Nothobranchius furzeri: one gene and its partners. The main gene of each other region encodes a partner of the protein of the gene in region 3 in a complex. Links are inferred from orthologs where the notes say so. Each region holds a gene or a part of one and is shown on either strand. Other genes may lie near its edges. The genes, in order: med25, med24, mediator of RNA polymerase II transcription subunit 13-like, cdk8, med20 and med4.

Region 1 (3,500 bases), on a different chromosome or scaffold from region 3:
CTTTTCAGGTGTTTTCTATTTGTAATTATAAATTTTTGTTGATTTGGGTCTTGTTTCATATCACACAGTGACATTTGATTAATTTAAATGCATTTTTTATTTAAAAGCTTTAGTTTACAGTAATAACCATGTCTAATGTTTGATTCTCTGTCTCATAATTTTAATTAAGTTTTACTTTGAGAGCACATTTTCCTGAACGATTAAAATGTGATTAATTGAGATTAATTAATTACAAAGCCTGTAATTAATTAGATTAAAAATTTTAATCAAGTCCCAGCCCTAATTTATATATATATATTTTTTAAACTCCACCAGTGTTAATTTTGACAAGAAATTTTAATTTAGTTTAAATCTTTTGACAAAAATAATTTTTAATTTTAGTCACAATTTAGTCATCCAGTTAGTTTTAGCTTTAGTCTTATTTTAGTCGACTAAAGTAAACGTATTTTTATTCTGATGCAATAATCTTCAACTTCATAGCAGCAGTAATCTGCTCCCGACAATCCTGGAGGCCTGAACAGAGACGATGGAGTTTACTCATTGGATCGCGCATGGGACTGCATCATCGGAGGGGGGAGAGCGGGCAGCAGAGGGCGACAACGTCCTCTGCTGCCCACGGATAAACGGAGTAGGAAGTGACGCCACCATCAGCGTCAGCTCTGAAGATGTTTGCAGCTGCAAACGAAACCGTCAGCAAGGTAAAGAGAAACCTTCTCTGTGTTTTAATAAAGAACCAAAAATGGAACTGGAGGCCAACTGTTAACTTACAGCGACTCTTCTGGTTGTTGGCTGCTTCGACGGCCCTCTGTGCAGCCACATGAGCAGGAGTCATGGAGGTCAAATTCTGCCAGGAAACAGATTGGAAAACCAGAGTCAGCGCTGGAGAGTGTTTTACAGAAGAAATGTGAAACCCTTTTCTGACAGCGAGCCAAAAGCAGGAGGCAAGCTTTAGTCCCCGGGGGCTTGGTAGCAGGGTGGCCCTTACCTGATAAGAGTGGGGCGTGTTAATGGGTGGAGGGGCCTGAGGAGGCCCAACAACAGGCTGGCTGACACTCAGCTGTTGAGGGGGGAGCACAGGCTTCAGCGGTCCAGGTCCTCCACCTGTGTTAGCTGTGACCACAGAAAAGCTCCATTTACAGGTGAGAAACATTAGTGTGCCAAATTCTGTTCAGCATTCAACACTCCAAATGGCTAAGATTAACCTCATAACCGCTATTTCCTTGTTTAGGAAAGCTGAACCTGCCAAAATAATTAATTTACAGCAGAACTGTGAAGCAGAAATTAAAGTGTGAAACTCAACAGCCAGTGTCTCACAGACACATTAGTGGTCTAAAGGAAGCTGTCCCAAATGGAGCCTAAAATAAAGACTCCTCTGAGAAATCAGCTGCAGCGAGATGAAAATTACAAACAATATAAGATTAAAAGAAATAGACATAAATAAGCAATAAACCAAGCTAAATATCTAAGTGAGTAACTTTCAATGTTTCTGGAGATGAGCCTTCAGCTCTCACTGTGTCATCTCCCAAAAATAAATCACCTCAGCTTGGAGCTACGTGTAACCTAACATCTCTACCTGCTTCATACTGTCCTCACACTGAGAATTAGGGATGGGTACCTTTGACATTTGAATCGATCCGGTACTAATTCCCGGTACCTACGAGTCGATACCGGTACTTAACGGTACCAATTTTCGATACTTTTGAGTGTTTATTATTTTAATTCTCTTTTATAATTAAATATATATTTTTCTCAATATATAACCATATTTGATAAATATCACGATAAATAACATACAAGTTTGTATTTTAACATCGTCCTTGTAGTTTTATAAGCTGATAGTTAAACTGAAGCAAACATCTTTACTGTGAACTAAATTTACTGTGTATCTTCATTCCTTTTGCCGTCCTTTTTCATTTGATTTTTCCTACTGGGAAGTTAGAATTTCCGAGGAGAAAGCGAACGCACCATTAGCTGATAACAATGGTGGCAATGGAAGCTAACATATCAGCATAACATTCTCAGTGAGAATATGCTCTAAAATACTAATTAATACATCATTTATTAACATTTTCTCCACAATAGTAAACACAAATAAAAGACCTGAAACAGCAGTTCAAAAACTAAATAGGACAATGTTCAACAGCAGAGCTCTACCTGCTGTAACGAACTCTGGATTTAAATGAGTGTTTCTCACGTGGAAGCGAGATGCCTCTGACCAGCACCATGTGGAACGGATCCTGGCTGTAGTCGGGGTGGGGTTCAACCGCCCCGCTCACTGGAGATGCCCGCTCAAACAAAGCTCTGAGAGCGGGCAGTTTCCGAGGAGCAACCACAGAGAAGTGAATTCCTCTCTACAATCAATCAAACACGGCCCGTTAAAGTGATTGTTTTTCTTTTTACTGACTCAACAGCAAACGTAAACAACTTAAAACCAACAAGCAGATTTAAGCAAAGCTAAGGTCGAAGAGTAACCGATGACGACTCACATCTCTGATGATTTTGACCAAGCTGTCTGCGGTGCAGCCAGTGTAGCTGACGCTCTCCACAGCAGGGAGCAGGTACGGGGGGGAGTTACACAGCAGCACACACACTTTGTGAGTCTGACCTCTGAAACAAACACACAGATCAGAGCTGAGATTCCCATCTATAGCAGGCTGAGACTACACTCAGATTTATTGTTAAAAATGGTTTTAAGAAAAATGCAGAGTCCAACTCATCACCTATTGGTTTAATCATTTTTCTGGAGTAACCTTTAAAGGAGTCGTTTATTCCTTGAACAAATACAGGTGCAGTGGTCTCTAGTAGGAAGAAAAGCCTTGTAAGTCGATCGGGGGTATCGGCGCACCATTTCTAGGAAGTAAAAGTTGCTGAGTTTCGAATGACAGGTGCTGGAGTCTTATTTCATGATATTGGACATCTCGCTCTAGATTAGAAAACAGCAACGCCACTTTACAAGTGACTTGCAACAAAGATGTTTCATCTCCGCAAATAACACAAGCCTGAAGGAGCTTCTGCTGTGTGGTGAAGTTGCTAATGCTAATGGTTAGCTTCAACTAGAGCTGGGCGATACGGCCTAAAATCAATATCGCGGTATATTGAGGAGTTCACCTCGATAACTATAAACGGACCACTAGATGGGGCTGTCACGCGTCTTACATTGAGTCATGTCGTCATGTGACTCGAGGTGGTACAGCTTCTTAAAGAGACATGAACATGGCCAACCCACACGCATCTTTTAATTTTCTTCTTTTATTATCAAATTTATTGACATGGGAAAAACTATATTGATTAGAGTCAGAAATTTAGATAACGATACATTTTCGCTATGTCGCCCAGTGACAGCGTCTACTAGCTGAGACGTTCTCTGCTGTTTCCTGGACGTTAAACCAATAACAGCATTCCCCATCGTGAGTCAAGATGGGTGAGTCCACGAGTGTTATGGGCTCGGCACACGAGAGGAGACATCACCTCTCCTCCATTCTTTTTCAATGAGACATGCC
Region 2 (2,179 bases), on a different chromosome or scaffold from region 3:
TTAGTGAATGAAATGAAAGCGTGTGATTTCATCAGCTGTTTCCTCTGTAGGAGATCGATCGATGAGCAGCTCCCTGTCTGCCTCCCAGCTTCACACGGTCAACATGAGGGACCCTCTCAACAGAGTCCTGGGTGAGACACGTCCCACAGCGCCGTCCTCCTCACCAGCTTCTGCTCATGACACTGTCATCAAATGTTCAGACTTAGAAACATATAAATCTTGAGGAGAATTAACCAGAGTTTGGTGCGATTTGTTGAAATAAAACAAAAGAAAAGGGTTTGATAGCTACACATCACACAGTAGCAACAACAGGTTTCTGCTTGTGGCCTTCATCAGGGTGTTTCAGGTTCAGAAAGCCTTACACTGGTGTCTGTGGGGGGTTGCCGTGGTCACCCTCATGAGCCACTGGCAGCAGTTTTTACATTTCTTGATCTTTTGACACTTTTTAGTTTATACATCAAAATGTACACATTGACACATTTAGGTTTTTTAAAGATAATAAATATAAATGAAAACTTTTAAGGTAACATTTGATCACATAGAAAGTTTATCTGCAGTGGTGATTTTAGAAAATAAAAGTGCCTATTTCTTCCAGGCAGCAGTAGCTCAACAGGTTGAGCGGGTTGTCCAGTAATCGGAAGGTTGCAGGTTCGATCCCGGCTCCGGACAGAGAATTCTGCTGTTGTGTCCTTGGGCAAGACACTTAACCCACCTTGGGGTGGTCGGAGGGACTGGTGGCGCCTCTGTCAGTGCGCCCCAGGGCAGCTGTGGCTACATTGTAGCCCATCAACATCAGTGTGTGAATGTGTGTGTGAATGATACACTGTAGTGTAAAGGGTGTGGTCTGCTCTCTCTCCCCTCCCCCTCAGCCAACCTGTTCCTCCTGGTTTCCTCCATCTTGGGCTCTAAGATGGCCGGACCTCACACCCAATTTGTGCAGAGTTTTCTGGAGGAATGTGTCGACTGCCTAGAGCAGGGAAGCCGTGGGAGCATCCTGCAGTTCATGCCTTTCACAATGGTGAGTTATGAGCAGGGTGAGGGAGATGACACAAAGGAGTGGCTGGAGGGAGGGAGAGAGGTTGCTGTTGCTTCACATTTTTCCTGGGCAGAGTTAGAATTTCCTGCGTTTACATGAACTGTGTGTTCCATCTCTAAAAACATCTGTGCTTGTGGTTTACAGCGAGCAATCTCTGCATGGGGATAGGTCAAAAGTTCATGGATGCTTCATGGTTAAGGAGTTGGGACAGGATTATAAATCAGAGCTTGGTCATGTGACTCATGTTATTAGACTGGTCAGGAAACAGGGAAGAAACCATTCCTCTTTATTCTGAGTTAAATGAGTCAGATACTTAAATAAAACAGAGCAAAGGTTCAGCAGCTGAGCAAAGGTCAAGAGTAATCACCTGTCCTTTTGTGTGTTTAGGTCTCTGAGCTGGTGAAGCTGCCCGCTTTGGCCAAACCCAGAATCATCCTGGCTATCACCGACCTGACTCTGCCTCTGGGGAGGAGAGTCGCTGCCAAAGCCATCTCTGCTCTGTAGAATATCACCCACGTTCTGTGTAGTTCTCTTTTAGGAGCACTTTTTATGGGTTTTTTTTTCACATAAAAACAATGTTTCAAGAAGACAATGTAAATACACTTAAGAATAAAAATGCAGATCTTTGTTCTGTTTGTCCGAAGCAAGCTTCCTTAGTTGTTTTCGTCAGATCAAATTGTTTATGCTTTTCCTGGAAGCGGCTGGGATCCCTGCTGACATCTGACCGTCGTGATCACATGCTCACAAGGCTTTCGCATGACACGGCGTACGATGGAGTCATCCTCTGAGCGACGCAGTGGGTCGTCTCCTGCTTGCAACACTTCCTGAAGGCAATGAGTGTCTGTCAGAGGGGAAGGAACACTGGCACCAAAGCCTCTGTTTCACTTTCAGTTGTGCTTTTTTTGTCATAAAATTAGTTTTGTTGGAATTTCTGGCCCAGACTCATTGATGAGGCAGACTGCGTCAGCCAGATTTGCCCCTAGTTGAGTCACTGCAGTGTCATCGTCAAAAAGGAACACTCTTTAAAAGAAAGCCTTTTTATTAGGAACTCAGAAAATACACATTATTATTATTATTGATCCTTTTTTCTGCAAAAATAAATATCTAGCATCCATCCTCTGAAATAAATATATAAATAGATTT
Region 3 (4,147 bases):
CCACCCAGCAATGACAGTAACACAAGCGCACTAAAGGCTACTGTTGACAGCTGGCGATGGGATATCTGGCCGGTGTGGTGATTCACCAGACATCGTGTGTTGCAAAAGAGCAGCTTAAAAGACATGTCCCCACATGTGCAGGTTTCAGCTCGTGAGACCACATACGTCATCGATCCTAGACAAAAGAGGCTCCTACCCGCACGAGCGACAAATTCTCGTCTGCGAATTGAGAAACTACGGACACGACGTTACGTGACGGCTGGTTCTGGTTTTCTTCCCGTCTCCGTCGCCTGTCACTCACAACCTCCTCTGTTTCTGTTTCTCGGGTGGGCTCCGGCATGTTGTTGACATTTTCTCGACTAGTCTGACGCTCCGCCTTTTTGGGGGAGGGACGTTTAAAACGGGACTGTAAGCAGAAGCTCCGCCCCTCAACGTAGAAGCGAAAGCAGCATCAAGTTTACATAAAAAAAAAAAACCAAAGAACATCATGTGCAGTCGACTTTGGTTTAAAACGTAAAGGTTTGTGAACGTTAAAAGCTCGGCTAGTTAGCTAACTTGCTAAGGATGCTAGTGCTAGCAGCAACCACTCAGATTGCCCACAGATTATTTAACATCTGCACATTAATCCCCAATTACACATTAGAGTGCTGATATCTTTGTTTTAAAAGTGCAAAAGCTAAATTGCCGCCTTATAAACTTGACATATTATATAAAAATGGTAACGTCTAGCACTGGCAGCAGAGTGAGACATGTTAAGTAAAGAGTTACCACTGTATGACAGATGCACTGAGGCTCTCATCTTGTAAACTGTGAAGTCATGGAGCTTCTTGAAGCCGGATAACGCCCCCATCAACACAAATTGGCCAATGGGAGCTGAGAGGCAGAGTTGTCCTCCTGGCCGCCATTAAAGAATTCAATCCATGTAGTGAAATAATGGAAATCTGCAGGACACCCATGGATCCAGGCAGAGACGATTAGCCGATGAGTAGTGTCGGAGATTTGGCATTTATTCTGTTTGACGAACAGTTTTATCATGACGGAGCTCCGTTGAGGTTTTAGAAGGAATGAGGGCGGTGTAGCTGATTGTTTTATTTAGCTGGCAGGCTAGCTGAGATCAGGGGGAGGGGAGAGTTCCTCTGCTTTGAAATTGTTTCAGATCAGCTAGCTGACGTTAGCATTAGCACACCAGGGACCAAGCTTTTGTGATGAAGTTTTTTTAGTTTCCGAGCTCGTTCTTTCAAATTTCTGGGGTTTGTTTTAACTTTAGTCTGTTCTGGTTAGGTTAACGTTAATTGTTTGATATTTATGTGATGTGGCCGCAGCTCTGCGGCTAACCAGATCAGACAATACATTTCAAATAGGATTGATGAATCGACTAGCTAGAAGCCTACAGTTGACGCTATCTGGCTGTCTGTCTAATGTTAGCTTAGCCGCCAGGCTAGTAGCTAGCGCCGGTTAGAAGTTGGCTGACTTAATTACAAGTGAACGTCGCTTCGCTTGCGAGTTACACCTATCAGCTATTGCCCCAAAGGTGGTTGAGACAATGGACTTGAACGTTACCACCGCGCAGTGAAAGGATGAGTTCGTGCTTTGTACCAAACGGAGCCAGTTTGGAGGATTGCCACTCCAACATCTTCTGCCTGGTAAGCCTAGCTAGCGCTAGTTGTGTTGCTGAAAGGCCAGAAAGCCATTTTGGCTCAGAAGGCAACAAGCTTTGTAACGTCAGTTTCAGATTGGCGAGAAGGCATCGGGCCTTCAAGTCTCAAATTGTCATCCTGCTTGTTTTAATAACACACAAAACACATGTTGTTTGGCTACTTTATAAAAAATGACGTGTTTGCGATTGTGCTTTTGGCCCATGTTTACACTGCAGTTGAAGAGGGATAATCAGTGTTAGCAACATGTTTATAACGGGTTGGGAATTGTTTGAAACACAGCCGATTGTTCTAAATTGTGTTGGATATGTTTTTAAATGATCTATAAACAGAATAACAGGGTTTTCTTTGCAGTCTGAAAAAGTATAAAATTGTTTTTATTTTGTATTTTCCGTTACATGTATGGAAATAAGAGCAGTGTGTGGAACGCATTTGCGTTACCAGACTTTCGTTTCCTACTATTTTATTACTCAAAAATGTAAAAATCAGATTCTAAAGAAGTGAACATACAAGCTTTTCAAAACAATGTAGCTAAGTTATGGAGTTATTTAACATGAAAAATGAAGACAAACCTTAGCGATCATGATATTATTTATTGACTAATCATGAAATGCACGTAAAATTAACGTGTAATATAATAACATCTATATTACTAGTGGGATGGACATCTGTTGGTTTTCCATGGTTATATCTTGAGTTTTCCATGCTGAGTGTTATTCTGTTTGTTAGTTGGATCATTTGACCTTTATAGAAACGTGTTAAAATAACTGTCAGAATACCAGGTGCACATTAACTAGCCTATTTCACAATTATTTAGTGGATATTTACAGTAAAATTCAGGAAATGTTCTAGAATCAGCTGCAGTCTGGAAATTAACCTCTGGAAAAGTCTGGAATGAAGTCAGCTGCCTTGGCAACTTAAAATGAAATGTGTTTACAAGTTTATGCTTACTTTTTTTTTGCAGTGAAACATTCAGTGTTGTCTACATGTTTTAGAACAAAATGAATGAAAACACAGAATGTTTTTTTCCTAGAAGGTGGCTTTGCTCTGAAATGATCTTGAAATAGAAAGTTTGATCAGTTACTGTGTAAAATACTTCAATTAATCAGCTTTTGAAGTTCTTCTCTGTTATTAATTTTTGCATCAGGTATGTTTGTGCATTCTATTTTCTAAAAAACAAAAGCTTAAATATCTAAATGTAAATGTTTTTCAAGTTTTTTTAACATGTTGATTGTATGGAAAAGAGGGACAAATAAGTTGGTTCATCCACCACATAAAGCTTCATTTTTAATTTGTTGATAGAAACCCCCCGTGCATTGATGCTAATACAAGTGCTGAGGGTCAGACGTGTCTCAGATGAAAGACACCTGCAGCTCAGGCCTTTTCCTCTTCATCTGTTGACACGTTTGTGGACAAGTTGAACCTCATGTCACTTCCAGTGATGCCACCTTGCATTGCAGTGTTGTGCAGCACTTTGTGAGCCTTGCTAAGTTTATTCATAATACAACTAGGCAGTCACAAGTTGGCCCAGTCCGTAACTATACACCGCGTGCAACAATGTCAACCATCCTCTTGTTATTATCTTTATTATGTAAAGTGCTTTACTATAAGACAGAAAAAGCAGCCTTCAGCTTTCTAAAACACATACGCATAGCCATGGATTTGCCTTTGTGTTTTAAATTTTTATTCACACTTTGTTTTTTTATATTTTCTTCCCTTTAGGCTGATTTGACTGGAATAAAATGGCGACGTTTTGTGTGGCAAGGTCCCACCTCTTCGCCCATCCTCTTCCCGGTGACCGAGGAGGACCCGATCTTGTGTAGCTTCAGCCGATGCCTGGCAGCAGATGTGCTAAGTGTGTGGAGAAGGCACCACACCCCGGGTCGCAGGGAGCTTTGGCTTTTCTGGTGGGGGGATGACCCCAGTTTTGCAGAGCTTATCCACAATGAGCTTTCGAGTAAGTGAATGCATCATTTGCATGTTTTCTGCCGGGTTTGAGATTCGCACAATATCCCGTTTAACTCTCACCAACTTTGATGTTCATTGATCCAAATGGAAATATTGTGACGTTTACTTGAGGGGTGGGTGGTATGATCACAGAAATAAATTAAGATTGGTTAGTTTGTTCTTTTTTTAGAATTATGGTCAAACTGTAATTTTGATTACATTTTCTCTTTTATATGCATAAAATAAAGAGAAAACAAGCAGCTTTAGTTTGGAGCAATGTAGATTAGTCCTGATCTGACAGAGGAGCTAACAGCTAGTTCAAATTAGGTCAGTCACAAAGATTTTTTAAAGTCCCAAAAAAATCTTAGATTATGCAGCATTTTACATTGTTTTTAGAGTTCATGATTATTCTGACGGATATAACCAAGAATTGCAAACAAAAGTTCTATAGTAGCTAGTTCTGCAGCTAATTTCTGCCGTAAATAACCCAGAAACGTCTCACTTGTGGTGATTCTAGTCTGAAAATCTCCAACAGCAGAAATTTA
Region 4 (3,291 bases), on a different chromosome or scaffold from region 3:
ATATGGGGTTTGCTCGTCTCTTCAATTCACCACTGAAGCCTTTAGCTGATCTCGACCCCGTCGTGGTCACGTTCTGGTACAGAGCACCTGAGCTGCTGCTGGGGGCTCGGCACTACACCAAAGCCATCGGTGAAACCCTTTTCCACTTCTGCTCTGCACGTGTTTTTTATTGGTGTGGCTTTGACTTATGTCAGCACGTGCTGTGCGTTTCTCCCAGACATCTGGGCGATTGGCTGTATTTTTGCAGAGCTGCTAACGTCTGAGCCCATATTCCATTGTCGTCAGGAGGACATCAAGACCAGCAACCCATACCACCACGACCAGCTGGACCGAATCTTTAATGTTATGGGCTTCCCTGCTGGTGAGACTGTTAATGTGTTGGTGTTACACAAGATTTTTCCAGCTACGATGTTCTGGAAGGAAATGTGATGAAACGCATTATTTTCTCGGTCTTTACTTGCTCTGTTTTTGAATGTATTAATGTGGTCTGTAGACGCCGGACATCAAACCACAGACTTTATACAAGTCACAAACCTAGAGATGGTTGCTTGCAGGCCTACATTTGGACCGATACTTTCCAGTTCACAAAATCTGCTTCACTTTTCCTTTTTTCTTTTCTCGTCTCTGCCGCTCTATTTATTTAATTCACCAGTCAGTTAGAAGGATCACTTTGGTTTCTGCAGAAATTTTGGGCAAATTTGCAGAGTTTAAGTACAAAACCAAAGCTAATTGGTGTAAAAATGAAAGAAATGTTGTTTAATTGTAAGTTGCTGTGGAAAAATAATTTTTTAATTTCTTTAAAGATAAATGATCCTTCGTCCTAACCCTTTGTTGCCTTGGTCTAACAGATAAAGACTGGGAAGACATCAAAAAGATGCCAGAGCACTCCACACTGATGAAAGATTTCAGAAGGAACACGTGAGTCTGCAGACCACTTGTGTCCTGTTTTTTATTTGTTTTAAGATCAAAACAAAGCAAAGTATATCTTAATACACAAAAATTACACACACTTCATAGTTTGCTCCTGTTTTTATACAGATACACAAACTGCAGCCTTATAAAGTACATGGAAAAACATAAAGTTAAACCAGACAGTAAAGCATTCCACTTGGTGAGTTGAAGCGCTTTTGATTTAGTCTTTCTCTGCCTGATATATCTGGTACGGCTTTTTGTTTGACATTAAAATCACGTTATTGATTGCAGCTGCAAAAACTATTGACCATGGACCCCATCCGTAGAATCACATCGGAGCAGGCAATGCAGGACCCGTACTTTTTAGAAGAGCCTCTTCCCACGTCTGAGTGAGCTGCAGCAGATTTAGTTCTGGCTTTTAGCGCGGCTAACGTGCCGGAGGAGACTCCTGAACAGGTTGATGAGGTGTTTTTGCATTCTTCTAGTGTGTTTGCAGGTTGTCAGATTCCCTACCCCAAGAGAGAGTTCTTGACAGAGGAGGAGCCAGAGGACAAAGGAGACAAAGTAAAATTTACTTTACAAACTTATTTTATGAATGCATTTGAATCAAAAAGCAGTGGTGTACGTAGATAATCCTCATGGGCGGGCAGTATAAATTTGGGGTGGCACCAAATTGGTCCCTGTGGCTGTCGATTGCTTCTTTGTTATCTTTCATTTAGAACTAAAGGCCTATGCGTCCGTCATATTTACCTCAGAGTTGAGGAACACAAACATTTAAGAGGTTCATAGTTTTTTTCCGCTTTTGTTTTAAATTTTGCTGTTTTATAATTTTAAGTTTAAAATTTGCCTGTTGTCGTTTGAACAAAACCTTTTTGAACATATTTTTGAAAAAATATAGTGAGCCTCAATGGGATACGTAGTATATAAGCTGTGATAATTTTTTTTTAGTAGAATACATTTATTTGTTAGTGTAAAAATGTATGTCCTAATTAAAAAAAGATGAATGTACAATTTGTGTGAACATGATTGTGATTTATTAGGGAAGGTGGGGGGGTGGTCTTCCCTGGTGGGGGGCAGTGGGGTGGCCACCAATTTACCAGGGTGTGGCCATGGCCCCCCATCCCTGGCCACCCCTTGGAGCACCCCTGTCAAAGCAAAAATGAGAAACTAAAATGTTGTAGTACATGTACAGTATTGTTTAGATTGTTTTGTTGTTGGGTGTTTTAGAAGAACCAGCAGCAGCAACAGGGAAACAACCACACAAACGGGGCGGGGCACACTGGCAACCCAGAAAATAGCCACACCCAGGGCCCACCTGCAAAGAAGGTGCGGGTTGTCCCTCCCACCACTACCTCAGGTGGCCTCATTATGACCTCAGACTACCAGGTGAGCTTTTCTGCTGCTCATCTGGACACACAAACAGAACAGCTTGTGTCCTAAATGCTAAATAAAGAAACTAATTGCTGATGAAAACAGAAGAAATTTGAAGTTTTTACTGACAAAGCTTTTTTTGTTGTTGTTGTTGTTCATGCAGCGCTCTAATCCACATGCTGCCTACCAGAATCCTGGACCAAGCACATCACTGCCCCAAAGCAGCATGGGATACTCCTCTACCTCCCAACAACCACCCCAGTACTCCCACCAGTCCCACCGCTACTGAAACACCCCTCCCACAAATAAACACACACATTTCTAATCTGAACACACACTCACACAGCCATTTCTGTGACCGCCTGAACGAATGTACTGAAGGATGTGGGGATGGTGCAACACCCCACACCCTACCTTCTGAAGGCACTCTGCTGTGATCTGGTAGTTCAGAGAGACAAAACAACTCCACCAGTGTCAGACAACACAATCCCAGTACAGCGTAAAGCAAATCCTCATGGGTGAAAGGCAGATCAAGAGGATAAAAATAAAATATTCCATTAATCAGGCAAAATACAGACGAGCCATCTCCTTTCCTCTGCTTCAGTTCCCCTCGTCCCGTCAAAACTTGGATGAGACGAAAGCTGCTACGTGACTGCCCACGTTAACAGATTCTCAGTCCTCCTATTTGTTTTGTTTTTTTGTGTGTAAGGGGCCTCCGCTGAGGACTGAACTGCGGCAAAGCAGGCTGGGAGATTTTTGATCTCACAGCTGTGGGATGGAGGCTTTTTTTGTTCAGAAAGGACAGAGTAAGGATTTTAGTAGTTTCTAATTTAATCTATTGTCATGATTTTGTTTTCATGACAAGCGTAACACAGCAGAGTGTGTGAGTTGCTGTGTACTGTGAGTAAGCCTTACAACATGACGACAAAACCAACTAATCGTATGGAGGATGGCAGATGGAACATGCATTGTACTGTATTGCATTTAAATATTTTACATGAAACAAGT
Region 5 (4,232 bases), on a different chromosome or scaffold from region 3:
GGCAATAGCCGGAAATTATAGCTTAGATTTGGTCAAAGTGGCCTTAAAAAGGTCTTAAAAAGTCTTAAATTTGGCACCCTTAAACCTGCAGATACCCTGGGAAAAGAACAAAGTAGGTGAGATCATTTTTAACAGGAGAACACATTTCAACATAACACAAACAACTGTATAACTTACCTTACCGACACCCCGGTAGACCTCGGTCACCCTAGGGTCCAGCTGGGGCATTGGAACCCCTGATACCTCAGACATCACTGTTCCCACCTCGGTTTGCTTCTCTGTGATCTTCTCCATGATAATATCAGCTAAGGTCCGCCTGTGATGGTCACAAAGAGGAAAACAGCTGAGTATACGAACATAAACTTAACCTCAAAGTGGACTTTAGCAAATTCCAACAGCTAGAATTCAAACAAAGTTGTGAGAAATCTTGCCTCATTGGAGGGTTTTTATTCATGAACATCTCAATGGCCTTCTCATCATCAGAATCAACGATGACTTCAGTATCACCCTCCACATCACCATCCCCAGCACCTGCTTCTCCCAGAACTGGCCAATCTTCATCTGAGTCAGCATCCTGGGACTCAGGGCCTAAAATAAACAGGTCAGACAACATTAGAAAATATTATTCATGCATTCAGCAAAGACTTATTTCACCTAAATAGTTCTGAGAAGATCACGCTGGGAACTATTTTTCTCTGTGATCGTCTGACATTTTGTCCACATAAAAAACATTCGTCATTAGTTTTATTTTTGCAGAGAAATAAAGGGATGTTGCATAAGTAACACCGTATAACTAATTACAAAAACACTTTCGTGGTTTCTACGCTTGATAAACCAGACTTAATTAAAAAAAATACTGCCAATTTAAGGTCCGAAACCCTCCATCATACCGAGAACAGTGACTGGTGCTTTCCTCTGCTCAGGTGCCAGGCCATACTCGGTCTGCAACTCCTCTTGTTGAATCCGGGCCTGTTGTAAGATTTTCCTTGACAGACGTTCATCCACGTAGGTGTCCTCACTTTCGACCCGGGCGTCTCGATTCTTCACCCGGCCTCGGGCTCGGATCGTGTCCGCCTGGAGGATCTGGTCGGCCAGTGGCACCGCTCCTCCTCCGCCACTCTTCTCTCCTCCACCGCCACCTTTAGCTCTTTTCACTTTCGGCATCTTTCAAGAGTGACTCAAGCTGCGACGACGCTGTCCGTGTTTTGTTTTACCATTAGAGACACAAACAACGCGGAGAAAGAATTCTGTAAACAGTCTGTATTCTACACGTGCAGATTACCGTACGGCGGAAGTGACGATATACGTAACGTCTGTGCACTGAAAAACATATATATAACATACCATTTTATATGATGTTGATTTTATATGTTTGTATGTAACATACATTTATGCAATATGATTATAAAGTTTCTTGAGTTTGTTTTTTAATTTTCTGAAACAAGGTCGTTTACGTGCACCGGAAGTGTAAATGTTAATCCGGAAGTAATTGCTTCACGAGTGTTTTTTGCAGGCGAGAAATCAATGGGTGTTACTTGGTAAGCAGATTTACTTATGTTGTAGTTAAATGCTAACTGTAATAATATTTTTGTAATATATTTTATCACGCTGTGCATATGATTTCGTTTGGCATGTGTAGCTAACTCGGTGAATGTAGCCTTTATTTGCTTCCAAACCGTTTTACACTGAATAGAATAGTGTTTATTGTCGTTGTACGGTGTACAGCGAAATTAGAGTGCCACTCTCTTTAGTGCAAAATGGAAAACTATACAAAAAATAATACAGAAATAATATAAATGTAAAATGAACAGTAATATATATATTAGTTGGGTTCAGTAAGCAGAATTTTAGCATATTGAGTAAACAGAAATAGGACATTCAAATGTTATTGCACATGATCAATTTTGAACAGGTTGCTTCACGGTGTTGTGTTGTTCTTGTGCTGTGCAGTGTTTGCCAGGTGCCCGTGGCGGAGGGGAAGAGTGTCCAACAGACAGTGGACATTCTGCATAAGAAGCTGGAGCAGCTTGGAGCTGTGAAGCAGGGCAACTTCTGTGTAGACTGTGAAACATATCAATCAACAGTAAACGCTGGCGGTAATTTTCAGCTATTAACCATATAAATATTATCATTCCTGTTGTTTAGGTGCTTTAGATGGATAGTCTTCTGCATTGCTATTAATACAACTTGCTGCAGGGGAATTTGTCATATTTCTTTGATTAAATTCTGCTTTTTGAAAATGTTCTAATAATTATGTCAAATATTTGACTTAAACTCAATTGTCCAGGATATGTGTGCCTTGTGACAAATATATTGTCAAGCTATGTAATTTTCATTTTTACTGATCTTATTTCTCTGTAAGGTTAACAAAAACAGTCATCCATTGGGTAAAAATAGCCAGATTAAAATACAGTTGGTGTGTTTTAGAAAGGTTTTCTGTAAATCTTCATTACTATGTTATGCAAGGTTAAATGAGCCACGTTTCCACTGTATCTTTCCCCAGAAGTCAGGAACATTTAAAAAGCCCCATCCACTGCAAGAATCCGCTTAAATTTGTTTAAATGGGACAGCAGTAGCTCAGGAGGTAGAGCGGGTTGTCCAGAAGGTTGCAGGTTCGATCCCGGCTCAGACCAAAGAATTCTGCTGTTGTGTCCTTGGGCAAGACACTTAACCTGCCTTGCCTGCTGGTGGTTGTCAGAGGGGCCGATGGCACCAGTGCTCAGCAGCCTCGCCTTTGTCAGTGCGCCTCAGGGCATCTGTAGTGACATCATAGCTCATTCCCACCAGCGTGTGAATGTGTGTGTGTGAGTGACTGTGTTGTGAAGTGCTTTGGGGGGATGTAGAACCCTGTGAAGGTGCTATACAAACACAGGCCATTTACATTAAGCTCCTTGAAAAATAGTTTTTATTTTTATGTTTTATAAACATCCGCAACCCGGGGTCTATAAACGTTTGATTTGGCATTTATCTTTCTAAGTTACTACTAGTCTTTTTTTTCCAGGTTTCCACCAATGAGTCCATTAGCAGAGCAGTAAATCATGATCTAATTTAGCTCAAGTGTCCTCCAGAAAAAAAGGTGTCTGCTCTCGCATCCCTCATAAGCAACATTTATATAAACAGGACATGGTATGATTCTACTACTTACTTGTGTAATTTTAAACTTAATAAGCATGCTGCTCTAATCTGTGTCCAAAAATAAAAAAATCATGCAAAGTCATTATGCAAAAATTGCATTGTTACATTTTGCTGTTCTTCATGCAATTTCTCACTTTAAGTCTGGGTTTGTTACAGGTCAGCCCTCCAAGCTCCTTTATGTAATGCACAACTCTGAATTTCCCCTGAGCTGCTTGGCTCTGTTTGAAGGAGGACCCTGTTTGGTAGCGGACACAAACTTTGACGTCCTCATGGTGAAGCTGAAGACCCATTTCCAGAATGCCAAGGGACACAAGGTGGAGTGTCGCGGTTCGAGATATCGCTACTGTGACTTCTTGATTAAAGTTGGCACGGTCACAATGAGTTCCAGTGTTCGAGGGATATCAGTGGAGGTGACAGTTTGGTATTATCAGTTAGACCAGAGGCCCATTGTTCTCTTTTTTGACAGGATTAACCCTTGATGTGTTTTCCTCAGGTGGAGTACTGTCCCTGTGTGGTTCCAGGGGACTGCTGGAACCTCATGAAGGAGTTCATGCTGTCTTTTCTTGGCAACAATGTTCCTGAGCTTCCCACTGTATTTGCTGCCAAGCCTGAGGGTCTTTTTGCACCAGCAGACTCTGTCGACACCATGACTCAGTACCTGGAGTTGTTCAACAAGCTACGGAAGTTACAAATCACAGGAAGCAATGTGCACTAATAACATTTTTTAATGATTGTATTGATGTGTGTTAAATGTGGTCCTATGGAAACCGTATGATTTGTATAGTTCTATTTTTGTAACTTCAGTTTTGTATTTGTTTACCCTGATACAGTTAAAAGGAATACAGCTACAATCTATAGATGCAAATGCTCAACACAGACAAAAATAAAGACAAAAATCTACCTATTTCTGCAAGAAGTAAAAATTCCTTACACTCGGTGGGGAAATGTTGGTGTCACAGCAGCAATCATTCACATCAGGAGCAAAGAAGAACAAAATCCTGTAACATATGCAAGAAATTCTTAAAACATTCAATCGAATAAAAAAAATCTGTGCAGATAGACGAAGTTTATAATGAGGAGTGATGGCATGAAAGGAG
Region 6 (4,222 bases), on a different chromosome or scaffold from region 3:
CTCAGCTGTTATTTTTGTTAAGGAGTGCACACGTACAGCATGCGCGCCTCGTGCATGAGCCTACTATTGAAGCTGACATTATGCTTTTGGCCTGAGGGGGCAATCGCGAGCATAAAAATTCAAAACTCTGTAAAGTCCCTTCAATAATAATCAAAATAAAGTTATTCAAAATAGTTTCATTAGGTCTTGAGTAAATTGCTCATAATTAATGATTCAGCTTATTTGCGCATTTGTAATGACTAAACATAATGTTGGTAAAATGCTTTATTAAAACTGCTATTATACATGTTGTACAAATTTGGTGTTCATTTTTTCACAATTAACACACTATTATCTACTGTGTTTGACCATACAGTTTTATTGAACTTTTCTTTTTAATTAGTAGCTATAGTAGCCAGATAAACTGGGTTATAGATGCATGCATGGACGTGATTTTGGGAGGGGAATGGGGGGACATGTCCCTGACATGTTCCCCCCACTTTTTCCAAAATCAAGTTTTGACCCCTGTACTTTTTACCATCCAAAAACAATATTACGCTATATTAAATTGACACTGGTTGAGCTCTAACACCAAGCGGAAAACAGCCGTTTGTGTTGAAACCTGTTTCCCATTACAGCATACTGTAAAGATCCCCCCCCCCGTGTCCCCCCCCCCCCACTTCTCAAGTGAAAATTACATCCATGGATGCATGTACTGTCTTCACATAAAAATATAAAGTAATGACTGTAAAATGTATTCTACTGAACATAATAGATCATCATTCAAAACATAAACAGCTACATATTTCTTCAAGGTAAGCTGGAGCAGAATTCTAGCTTTCAATAAACCACTTTAAAATGGATATTACAACTCGAGTTTAGGGCTTCTTGTAGGACTTAAAGTTATTAAATATGCTTTTAGTAGAGCAGTGTGTACACTACATCAAATTTATTTCTATAACATATTACAGTAATGTATGTGGTCTAAATGTGTTAGGACTGTTGTATTCCTGTAACGTAGAACAGTCAAGGGTGTCGGTCTTCCTACAAATGCTTGGAAAAATATAAATAGGCTCCTTTGTGAAGGAATTAGGACATAATATATAATCCATCCAACCATTGTCCGAACCCACTTTGTCCGGGGGGGGGGGGGGGGGGGGGGGGGGGCAATAGGCAATCAGGCGGTGGACACCCTGGACAGAGAGCCAGTCCATCGCAGTATATAATATAATATATATAATATTATATATTATTATATTATTATATAATACTGTATATCAAATACAGGCCATATTCAATAATTACCTAAAATCACCAGGGGCAATGTGACTATATTCAGTTTTTGTGATTTGCCCACCGTACACCGTTCAAACTGACGTACGGCGCTGGGATGTTTGGAACTATTGAGAGCTCCCTGAACCACGTGGCCGCAGTGTCGCAACTCTGGCTCTAATTTCACAACAGGAAACGGAACGAGACGTAACATCCGGTCCGACCGCGCGATCCGAAAATGGCGGCCGTGGCGGAGAAATCAACGAAAGAAAGACTTTTGTCTGTGTTGGACGACTTGGAGGTTTTATCACGGTAAAATTAAAAATAATTAGAACGTTCTTGTTTATTTATTTAATATTTTAAGCTGATGTCATTTTATTATCGATCACGTTATTCAGCTGTTGGCATCGGTTCCGATCTAGAGTTCCTGGTGATTACTCTGAAAGTAAAAGATGGTTCAGTGTTTCTGGGTCTTTTGCAACCTTTATTATAACGGGCAACATATAACCCTTCTCTTTATGTGTGTGTGTGTGTCTGTCTGTCTGTCTGTGTATTTTCAGGGAGTTGATCGAGATGTTGGCTCTGTCCAGATCTCAGAAGCTACCTCAGCCCGGAGACGACACGCAGGTAACGGTCAGGAGCAGGTCTGGAGTCAGATCCAAGGCTGTTGGATTACACTCTCGATGCTTTATAACTTTGACACAGAGCTGCTACGTAGTACTCTACTGGTTTACGTAGTATCTTTCTCTTCAGCCATTGGCTAAAGTGTATTCAAAATGTCTCAAACTCTATGTTTTAAGCTGAAGGTGGCGCTATACTGTGGTATTTAGGCAGAATTTTTAAGTTTTAAAGAAAATGCACCAAAATGCTAAAATAATGAATACACACATTTAAAACACTATTAGACACTCATTTATACAGTTCATCAGCAAAAAAAAAAGTCAGCAAAAAAAAAGTTAATTTAGACGATACTTGCTCTTTAAATATCAGAGTCCAGCAGTTACAGATACATTTCTGTGTTGATTAGAACACGGGCAGAGCCTAAGCTCAGTTTACGTGCTCAATCCTGAATGTTTCCCGTATTTCGGGGAATATTTAATTTTCTTTAATTCCATCTCTGTGGTGCTATGGCAACATATTATGTTGAAAATTGGAACAAAACCGGTTCCATAGCATTTATGTCCTGTTTGATCTGATCATAAATAGTTCATCATACACCACTCCTATGTAGGGTTGTCACGGTGTGAAAATTTAACCTCACGGTTATTGTGACCAAAATTATCACGGTTTTCGGTATTATCGCGGTATTTTTTTAAACGTGCTACATTTTCAGACAACTAAATAAACCCTGTATGTCAGGAAATATTGTCCTCAGTTTGTGTCTAAATTTTGTCTAAAATGTGTTATTGTGTAATTATGTTGTTTATTTGTTTACATTTTTCCTCTTTAGTCTTTAAAGTATCAATATTTGCCCATAACTTCTTATTTGTTGTCTGTTTGATGTCATTATTTAAAAAATATTAGATCAGATGATACTCAGCACTCAAGTAGCCTTCTAATCAGATATTTTTTACCCTTACTTGAGTAATAAACCCTATATCAGGAAAATATTGTCCTCAGTTTGTGTCCTTCCAGTGAGCTTTGCAGATGTGGGAAAATGTCATCAAGCAGTAATCATTGTTAAATTCATAATTATTCTCGGAGAGAGACCAACTCTTATCTGTCCCTGGGAGCCCCGTAATGCATAGCGTCATTTCAACATGGGGGTGTCCGCGTCGACACGGTTTATATGCAGGTAGCGGCGCTGCGGCTGCTTTATATAGCGACTCGTTGCATTCTCCCTCAACCCAAATCCTCGGATCACACATTTTAGCTAAAACGCTAACGTTAGCTTGCCTTGCGTTGACTGTAGAGTTGTGGGTGATGGTCACGCAGATGTGTCATGAGATTTGAAGCGTTGCTGCCTTTCACAGACACTTTTTCTGCACGTGCTGCAAACAGGATAGTCGTCTTCTATCAACTCCCTCGGCATTCTTCAAATATCCAAAAGATGCCCGTACTTCCCCCTTTGTCTTCTTTGAGGGATAATAAATGTCCTGAGCGCTGCCGTCTCCTCCTTTGGCCATTATTTCAGCTTTAGCTTCAAGAAAGTTTTGGTTGTAAACAACAAAGCGCGCATGTGCCGCCGGCAACTTCAGCAGATGATACGGTGGCTGGTAAGGGTCACCGCAGCCACTGTAATCACCGAGATAATATAGTTTTTTTAAAAACAAGGCGGTTATTATTATTGTCAACTTTTTTCCCCAGAGTTCACTGCTACACCGGTTACCATGACAACCCTACTTCTATGTAAAGTATTTTAATATAAGTTTCAGTGGGTGCGCTGGCAGAAAGTCTTACCCTCCAGTCAGAACCTAAAACAACACCAGTAGGCAGAAATGATCAAAAATACCCGTTATTAGCACAACTGAATAATAAAACACCACGGGCGAGTTCCGCTGTGGAACTCGTCGGCTACTGCCTCTTGTCCCTTTAAGACAAAACCAGCTGTTCAGCATAAGTAAAATCAAACAATCAGGTACTTAGCTGGCCCAGTCGATGCGACCCCCTCCCCGGGGTCTGAGCTTCCAACACCGTCCAACGCCCCGGGGTTCAGCTTGCGTGGACGGCAGGTGAGTCCATGGCTCGGGTCCGGCTGCCAGAGTTTGCTGTGGCAGATGTCGGCGTGGTCTCGGCACCCAAATACTCCCAGCCCTCGCTACCTAAAGAAGGCGTCAAGCCTCCCGTCCTAGCACTGGAACACTGCCCACCTACTCAGCTGTCTTCATCGCCGGCAGTCCTAACCAACTGCGAACGATCCCACCCCCCAGAACCGGGTGTCACAATGACAGGTCGACCATACACACACACACCTTGGTAGATCTGCCACCCTTTTATCATCTCCGGCCTCATCACACCTGACAAGCACCAG

What was found.
Region 1: mediator of RNA polymerase II transcription subunit 13-like (region 3) and med25 share a complex: the UniProt entries of both Homo sapiens proteins name them as parts of the mediator complex. The link is inferred for Nothobranchius furzeri from reciprocal best matches to the Homo sapiens genes MED13 and MED25.
Region 2: mediator of RNA polymerase II transcription subunit 13-like (region 3) and med24 share a complex: the UniProt entries of both Homo sapiens proteins name them as parts of the mediator complex. The link is inferred for Nothobranchius furzeri from reciprocal best matches to the Homo sapiens genes MED13 and MED24.
Region 4: the proteins of mediator of RNA polymerase II transcription subunit 13-like (region 3) and cdk8 are in contact, whole or in part, in a cryo-EM structure (PDB 8TQC), measured with the Homo sapiens proteins. The link is inferred for Nothobranchius furzeri from reciprocal best matches to the Homo sapiens genes MED13 and CDK8. Residues at the interface, in NP_005112.2 of Homo sapiens: Thr1616, Met1617, Asp1618, Arg1619, Lys1621, Val1622, Gly1623, Ile1624, Pro1625, Thr1626, Asp1627, Gly1628, Asp1629, Ser1630, Val1732, Lys1733, Thr1734, Leu1735, Thr1736, Gly1737, Phe1738; in NP_001251.1 of Homo sapiens: Leu9, Glu12, Arg13, Arg71, Lys74, His75, Pro76, Leu81, Gln82, Lys83, Val84, Tyr133, Asp137, His140, Tyr141, Met330, Gln331, Phe335, Leu336, Leu340, Pro341, Thr342, Ser343, Asp344.
Region 5: mediator of RNA polymerase II transcription subunit 13-like (region 3) and med20 share a complex: the UniProt entries of both Homo sapiens proteins name them as parts of the mediator complex. The link is inferred for Nothobranchius furzeri from reciprocal best matches to the Homo sapiens genes MED13 and MED20.
Region 6: mediator of RNA polymerase II transcription subunit 13-like (region 3) and med4 share a complex: the UniProt entries of both Homo sapiens proteins name them as parts of the mediator complex. The link is inferred for Nothobranchius furzeri from reciprocal best matches to the Homo sapiens genes MED13 and MED4.

What each region holds. Positions count from the first base shown.
Region 1 is NC_091745.1:8,280,534-8,284,033, forward strand, and holds part of med25 (mediator of RNA polymerase II transcription subunit 25), read right to left. Parts: intron 2,608-3,500; coding exon 2,487-2,607; intron 2,352-2,486; coding exon 2,195-2,351; intron 1,111-2,194; coding exon 986-1,110; intron 845-985; coding exon 769-844; intron 1-768. UniProt on the Homo sapiens protein: Component of the Mediator complex, a coactivator involved in the regulated transcription of nearly all RNA polymerase II-dependent genes.
Region 2 is NC_091756.1:31,514,767-31,516,945, reverse strand, and holds the end of med24 (mediator of RNA polymerase II transcription subunit 24), read left to right. Parts: intron 1-50; coding exon 51-131; intron 132-595; coding exon of another isoform or gene 596-618; exon of another isoform or gene 619-810; intron 811-869; coding exon 870-1,018; intron 1,019-1,423; coding exon 1,424-1,540; 3' UTR 1,541-1,679; downstream 1,680-2,179. UniProt on the Homo sapiens protein: Component of the Mediator complex, a coactivator involved in the regulated transcription of nearly all RNA polymerase II-dependent genes.
Region 3 is NC_091753.1:50,252,393-50,256,539, reverse strand, and holds the start of mediator of RNA polymerase II transcription subunit 13-like, read left to right. Parts: upstream 1-1,347; 5' UTR 1,348-1,577; coding exon 1,578-1,643; intron 1,644-3,377; coding exon 3,378-3,612; intron 3,613-4,147. Other genes in the region: c18h3orf33 (protein C3orf33 homolog), read right to left, coding at 197-340. UniProt on the Homo sapiens protein: Component of the Mediator complex, a coactivator involved in the regulated transcription of nearly all RNA polymerase II-dependent genes.
Region 4 is NC_091747.1:51,014,490-51,017,780, forward strand, and holds the end of cdk8 (cyclin-dependent kinase 8), read left to right. Parts: coding exon 1-129; intron 130-217; coding exon 218-361; intron 362-848; coding exon 849-918; intron 919-1,038; coding exon 1,039-1,111; intron 1,112-1,203; coding exon 1,204-1,301; intron 1,302-1,397; coding exon 1,398-1,476; intron 1,477-2,139; coding exon 2,140-2,298; intron 2,299-2,446; coding exon 2,447-2,572; 3' UTR 2,573-2,791; downstream 2,792-3,291.
Region 5 is NC_091743.1:46,651,293-46,655,524, forward strand, and holds med20 (mediator of RNA polymerase II transcription subunit 20), read left to right. Parts: upstream 1-1,432; 5' UTR 1,433-1,524; coding exon 1,525-1,538; intron 1,539-1,950; coding exon 1,951-2,096; intron 2,097-3,291; coding exon 3,292-3,545; intron 3,546-3,628; coding exon 3,629-3,850; 3' UTR 3,851-4,039; downstream 4,040-4,232. Other genes in the region: bysl (bystin), read right to left, coding at 178-316, 432-588, 891-1,164. UniProt on the Homo sapiens protein: Component of the Mediator complex, a coactivator involved in the regulated transcription of nearly all RNA polymerase II-dependent genes.
Region 6 is NC_091754.1:35,365,939-35,370,160, forward strand, and holds the start of med4 (mediator of RNA polymerase II transcription subunit 4), read left to right. Parts: upstream 1-1,422; 5' UTR 1,423-1,489; coding exon 1,490-1,563; intron 1,564-1,811; coding exon 1,812-1,878; intron 1,879-4,222. UniProt on the Homo sapiens protein: Component of the Mediator complex, a coactivator involved in the regulated transcription of nearly all RNA polymerase II-dependent genes.